2 linked regions of the Callithrix jacchus genome follow. The protein of the gene in region 1 purifies or fractionates together with the protein of each later gene. This does not show direct contact. Links are inferred from orthologs where the notes say so. Each region holds a gene or a part of one and is shown in the gene's direction. Other genes may lie near its edges.

Region 1 (3,284 bases):
TTAGCTCAGTGCCCTATACATGGTACAAATACATGCTTTTAAAAGTTCCAATTGGCCAGGCACGGTGGCTCATGCCTGTAATCCCAGCATGTTGGGAAGCCGAGGCAGGCAGATCATGAGGTCAGGAGTTTGAGACCAGCCTGGCCAACATGGTGAAACCCTGTCTCTACTAAAGATAAAACAAATTAGCCAGGCATGGTGGCGGGTGCCTGTAATCCCAGCTACTCAGGAGGCTGAGGCAGGAGAATCACTTGAACCCAAGAGGTGGAGGTTGCAGTGAGCCGAGATAGCGCCTTTACACTCCAGCCTGGGCGACAGAGCAAGACTCCATCTCAAAATATATATATATATATATATATATATATATATATATATATATATATATATATATATGTTCAGATTATAATACAGCTCTCAAGATGTGAGGCTGATAATTAAGACTGGGACACTTGAGATGGAGGGTCTTTAAAGTGGGGTTAGTATCTATCCCTATGCTGGTTCCTAAGAAGATGTAAGAGGAAGAAAGAGAGTTGCTTTGTTTTGAGCTTCCTGGAGAAAGTATGTGTGAGAGAATTGATAGGAAGTAGATCTCCACCTTTCAAAGGCATATTAGCATCTGCCTTATGTGTGGCACTATAGGAGTAAATGAAGTAGGCATAAGATCACCTTTGCTCTTAAAGAACTGAAAATCTTGTTAAGTTTTTAAAAGTCAAAAGTCTGAAAGTTGTTAAGACTTCCCAGATCCTAAAGAACATTCTAAAACCCGAGATCAGGCCCACGTAACCTGACAAAGTGAGCATACTCATTGACACTGGCACCCTCCAATCACCCCCAGCACCCTGCACCTTTTCAATGTTATAGGAAGCAGAAGCTTGAGCAGGGCCCGGACTATAATCTTGTCCTAGATCAAGTCTAGGCATGTGCCTCCACTTCCCATGGCTCCACTGCTTTTATTCAACCCTATGTAGGGACTGTGGCAGATGGAAAGCCAACAATCTTAAACCTCATTCCACGGTTGCACTGGGTGGTCAGAACACAGATGGAGGCAAGGGGGCCATCTTGTCATCCAGAGCATGAACTGAGTGGGAACTCTACCCATTGTCCCCACTGACAATCACATGGCCAGCTGCTGCCTACAATTTAGTGTTCTGTTGCTCCTCACACTTCTCTACCTCTCTCAGAGGAAGCTGATGAAGTGAAGGAAGGAAGTGGCCAGGAATACCTACACTAACAGCAGCCCCATATCTATGAGTAAGGTCTAGTTTCCACTTCCAGTCACCTTCCAGCATTCTGCCCTTGCTCACAGATAACCCTATCTATAAGCACACTTCCACTCCCATCTTTGCAGAAGCCTAGCCCTTCTCCCCAGCCATACAGCTGTATCATGCATTAGAGTTTGTATTAAAAAGGCATTGAGTTGTATTAAAAATGAATGTAGACCAGGTTTGGTGACTCATGCCTGTAATCTCAACACCTTGGGAGGCTGAGGCAGCTCAATCACTTGAGGTCAGGAGTTCGAGACCAGCCCGGGAACAGGGCAAAACCCTATCTCTACTAAAAGTACAAAAATTAGCTGGACATGGTGGCACATGCCTGGAGTCCCAATTACTTGGGAGGCATGAGAATCACTTGAACTTGAGAGGCAGAGGTTGCAGTGAGCTGGGATCATGCCACTGCACTCCAACCTAGGCAAGAGTGAGGTTCCATCTCAAAAAAAAAGCAATGTAGTGCCAGACAGGGTGGTAAGAAGCTGAGTTCTGGGTAGTAGCTGTGTTCCTAGTATTCCTGATATAGCAGTAAGCTTGACCTATAGATGTTTTACTTAAGATAAAAACAAAAAACAAAATTACCGAATTCAAGAAATTACAGGCTTATCTAGTTATCTATGCGTGTTTATTTCCTCTTATGGTTTCAGGTTGGTTTCAAAATATTTAAATTAAAAACATATTTCAGTTTACTGTCTTTAGAAGACAGTTACCAGTTTAAAAGACAGTTCTGTTATTCAACTCAATGCTCAGGTAAACGTATATCTTAATTAAGTTTGATTTAACTCTCCAGGGGGAACACACCTGAAACTAGAGGAACAGCTTATGTGGTCTATGAGGACATCTTTGATGCCAAGAATGCATGTGATCACCTATCAGGATTCAATGTTTGTAACAGATACCTTGTGGTTTTGTACTATAATGCCAACAGGGTAAGTATAGCCAAGTTCTCCTTGTATGGTGATCTCATTTGAAAATTAGTGTAGAACTGTGCTGTGACGATATATGTCTACTGTGACTATTTTTTGGCTAATGCTATTGGTGAAATTTATTTGGCTGTAGATCGGTAATTCAACTTTGGTGCTTACTGCATTTCCAGGCATTTCAGAAGATGGACACAAAGAAGAAGGAGGAACAGTTGAAGCTTCTCAAGGAGAAGTATGGCATCAACACAGATCCACCAAAATAAATGTTTTCTACATTTTCATTTTGGACTGAAACCATGAATGACAACTACCATCTTTTCCCTTTTTTTCCTTTTTAATTAATACTAAATATTGTGATTTCTTATTTTAGGTTCAAAATGACCTTGAAACTTTGATACATATCAGAATACATGATATTAATAAACCTGTTGCTTTTTGTGAAACACGTCTGTCTTTTCTTTTGAACTTTCCCTCCCTGTTTGATACCAGGAAAAAAATAGTTGAAGCTTATCAGGAATTGTAGGTGCTCCTAGGGAGTCCGAGTTTCTTGAAAACAGGACCTCTTTATATTCTTAATGCCTCCGGGGTCCAGTGCAGTGCTTAGCCGTCAAAGGAACTTGCTGTTTATTGAATGTCTATTAATAATGGATCTTTATAACAACTCAGTGAAGATAGGTATTTGCATTTTGCAGGCGAGGAAACCAAAGCTCATGATGTTGGGTGAATGAATAAAATGCTAACCTACAAAGCTGGTGTAATAGCAACCAAGCCTTTACATTTGAATGATGCTTGCTTTATAGTTAACAAAATACCTTTGTCAGTATGGGTACCCTTGTCTTAGAACAGAGGTCTATTCTAGAAATGGTCATTTAGATGGTAGTACACTGTTAGAAACTTAGATTTGCCTCTCTAAATTTTTTTGAAAATTATTATGGGTATATAATGGTTGTCACATTGGTAGAAGTTTGAGAGCAAGCTGCTTGGATAGTGGTGTTGGTTGTTATGTGTCTAAAATTGTATTTATGTAGCCTTTTCTTTTAGTTATCAAGCGTCTGTATTTTGGACCTTAGCTCATAAAATATCTTTGCCATAA
Region 2 (3,752 bases), on another chromosome or scaffold:
TCATCTCAAAAAAGTTAAAAAAAAATTTTTTTTGATGAGATGAGAAAGAAGAAGATTGAAAAGTTTCTCTTATAGATCAAAATTTAAAGTGAAAATAATCCTCTACATTGTGTGATTTTCCTTTCTATTTTGAGATGGAGTTCTCTGCTCCCAGGCTGGAGTGCAGTGGTATGATCTTGGTTCACTGCATCTCTGCCTCCTGGGTTCAAGCAATTCTCCTGCCTGAGCCTCCCGAGTAGCTGGGATTACAAGCGCGAGCCACCATGCCCAGCTAATTTTTTTATTTTTAGTACAGACGGAGTTTTACCATGTTGGCCAGGATGGTCTCGATCTCTTGACCTCGTGATCCACCCGCCTCAGCCTTCTAAAGTGCTGGGATTACAAGCATGAACCTGGCCCCCAGCCCATTGTGTGATTTTCTTCAGGTATGTTAAGTAATGCCAAAGACCTCCTGGTGTTGGAACAGAGTCAGTATAATCCTTCGAGTTTCTCTCAGAACTTCTTTTCGTTCAGTAAGGAATTTATATTAGGTGCTGTACACACGGTGCCCTGTTGTTCAGAAGCGTGATGGTGACAGTACTATTTTTTTTTGAGACGGAGTTTTGCTCTTGTTACCCAGGCTGGAGTGCAATCGCGCGATCTCGGCTCACTGAAACCACCACCTCCTGGGCTCAAGCGATTCTCCAGCCTCAGCCTCCAGGGTAGCTGGTATTACAGGCACGGGCCACCATGCCCAGCTAATCTTTTGAATTTTTAGTAGAGACGGAATTTCACCGTGTTGGCCAGGCTGGTCTTAAACTCATGACCTCAGGTGATCCACCCGCCTCGGCCTCCCAAAGTGCGACAATGCTATTAACTGGATTTATTCTCTTGGAATCTCCCTCTCTTGCAGGACATTTTTCCTCCTAGACAAGCCCTCGAGGCCCTCTGCCGTCTCAAGGCAACCTCCAGCCGCCAGGGGCCGTAGTCGCGCTCCTCGTGGCCGGAAGGGAGTGCGGCCCAGCGCAGCCTCGGCGTTTCCGCCGTGCGTCCTCAGTGCTCTGCGCGCTCTTTACGTCCGAAGGCCCTGGAGTAGACGCTTCCGGCCATTCATACTGCCGTCGATCAGTATTCGGTAATTGGATTTTGTGCGCTATCGGAACCAAAGGGTGACGGCGCTGCTAAGATGAAGCTTGTGAGGTGAGGGGGTGACCAAGTAGCTCTGGGGACTGTGAAGGGCGGGCTTGGCCCGGAGTCCGGAAGGCTGAGGTCTCCCAGTTGCAGGAGGCGGGAAAGCCGCGTGTGCGCGGCCTGCTAACGGCCGGCCTCCTGAGCCCTCCGCTCGTTCTCTGGCTTGGGCTTCCGCGTGGGTAGCGCAGGGATCCCGGGTGTTTTCCAAGAGATGGGTATAAAGGCCGAGCGCTTTCTTTCCGCCTAGTGATTTAGAGATTTTAGGTTGCGGCGCCGCCGGGGCGCAGGTCGCTCTTGTGGTTACTGATTTTCTTTTTGAGTGAAATTCCAGTCTCACTTAAGAGTACTTAGAAGCTGTGTGAGCTTATCTGGAAATAATTACACCTCTTTGCAGAACATTTTAAGTCGGAGAAGGACTTGTGGCTCCACAAGTTTTTGTTTTAGTTTTTTCTTTTTTTAAATAAAGACAGTGTCTCACTTCGTTGACCTGGTCTCGAACTCCTAGGCTCAAGCGTTGCGCCCGCCTCGGCCGCCTAAAGGGCTGATATTACAAGTGTGAGCAACCGCGCCCGGCTGGTTTTTATCTTTTGATACTCCTTAGACTTATGAATGATTATTCCACCTCAATTTCCGGTTAAGGTAGGCTTTTGATTTAGGAAAATATCCTATAGGGCAGAAACTATCATAACGTAATTGTGGCTGATTATCCAGATAATACATAGTTCTCCTGTTTTATTTCTTTCGAAATAAATAAACCTGGTCGGTTAGGTGAATGTACTGAAGACTTTTTACTGATGTGAATAATTACTACCTGCAAGTAGATTTGGTTTTAGTGTTTTTCCTTGAGACTGAACCTGGGACAGAGGCAGACGTTTCTCATGACTAAGCCAGCAATTATAAATATTTAGCTCGTTTCTCTCTTGTTGAGTCAAGGATTGTCAATGTCCGCTAAATAGTTTATGGGCACCTGTTATATACTAGGCGCTGGTAATAGAATTTTTTAAAAGGCAAAGTCCCTGCTTTGTTGGAGCTTTCTGATTAGTGGTGACTACAGAAAAGTAGATAACGTCTGAAATAACGTTTGTTAGTTCGAAACGTTTTAAATAACATGAACTGACCTTCAATATCAGGGAGGAGGCTGCCCGCGCCTGTAATCCCAGCATTTTGTGATGCTGAAACGGGTGGATCACCTCAGGTCAGCAGTTCGAGTCCAGCCTGACCAACATAGTGAAACCCTGTCTTTACTAAAAATGCAAAAACTAGCCGAGCAAAATGGCAGGCGCCTGTAATCCCAGCTACTTGGGAGGCTGAGGCAGGATAAGCACTTGAACCGGGCAGGCGGAGGTTGCATGAGATCACACCACTGCACTCCAGCCTGGGAGACTCCGTCTCCAAAAAAAAATTATATTCAGGGAGGAGTTGGTACGAAAGACATTTAAGGTTAATTTTTAGTGTATTTTTATTTGAACTATAATTTTGGATAAGAAGTCCTAGAATTAATTAGCTCAGGATGGTGACGCATGCCTATAGTCCCACCTACTCGGGAGGCTGAGGCAAAAGAATTGCTTGAACTCGGGAGGCGGAGGTTGCAGTGAACCGAGTTCGTGCCTCTTCACTTAAGCTTGATGACAGAGTGAGAGTCCATCTCCAAAAAAGTCCTAGAATTTAAAGTACATTTTTTAGGCTGAGGCAGGCGGATCACCTGACGTCAGGAATCCAAGACCAGCCTGGCCAACATGGTGCGATCCCTACTAAAAACACAAAAATTAGCTGGGCATGATGAGGCGCTCCTATAATCCCAGCTACTGAGGAGGCTGAGGCAGGAGAATCACTTGGAACTCGGGAGGCGGAGGTTGCAGTAAGCTGAGATCCCGCCACTTCTGTACTCCAGCCTGGGCGACACAGAGACTCTATCTCTGTGGTTTTTTGTTGTTGTTGTTGTTGTTTTTTGAAATTTCTCCATACCTGCCAAGCTGAATCGTAATCTACTCATAGTTCAATTTTATGTAATACAGGTTGGATCCCGTTTGTCCCATTTAAAGATACTGCATGTTAAGACAATTTTCCCGTAATTTTTAATACTTGTACTGAATCCTGTTTTGTGTCTTAGGTAAAATATAGAAACAGTTTTTTTTCTTACTGGAGACTGTATTTTTCCTGCAGAAAGTGATTGTTTGACTAGTTTGCATTTTCAGTAGACTTTTATTTCTGTATCTCCATTGGCGGTGTTATCCTTATCCTCACTGTCACCCTAACCAAAAACCTGGGAGGTGAGCTTGACTTTTTCTCTCCTGATGTTCTTGACATTTGATAAGTTGCTGAGTTTGCCAATGTTACCTACTTCATACACGTGTCCCACGTTATCCTATTTTGATTGGTTTTTGGGTTCAAATAGTGTGTTTTGATACTGAGGGACACTATTATCTGACTATTTTATATCTAAGTTTCTCTAAGTAAAAATAATTCAGATATTAAAAGATTCATCTGAAAATAATTTGAATCCATTTGGTTCCTGGGCTCAAAGAGGGAAGGATATTTGGTATTTGTCCTGCCTGTAGTAGCCTCCATTCATTCCAGATACC

Evidence for each region. The genes of interacting proteins can lie anywhere in the genome.
Region 2: the proteins of SF3B6 (region 1) and SNRPD1 fractionate together in Homo sapiens (co-fractionation; 3 studies listed by BioGRID and IntAct, with this or other methods). This does not show direct contact. The link is inferred for Callithrix jacchus from reciprocal best matches to the Homo sapiens genes SF3B6 and SNRPD1.

The regions. Positions count from the first base shown.
Region 1 is NC_133515.1:91,183,866-91,187,149, forward strand, and holds the end of SF3B6 (splicing factor 3B subunit 6), read left to right. Parts: intron 1-2,058; coding exon 2,059-2,197; intron 2,198-2,364; coding exon 2,365-2,454; 3' UTR 2,455-2,634; downstream 2,635-3,284.
Region 2 is NC_133514.1:64,585,703-64,589,454, forward strand, and holds the start of SNRPD1 (small nuclear ribonucleoprotein Sm D1), read left to right. Parts: upstream 1-1,068; 5' UTR 1,069-1,165; coding exon 1,166-1,179; intron 1,180-3,752. UniProt on the Homo sapiens protein: Plays a role in pre-mRNA splicing as a core component of the spliceosomal U1, U2, U4 and U5 small nuclear ribonucleoproteins (snRNPs), the building blocks of the spliceosome.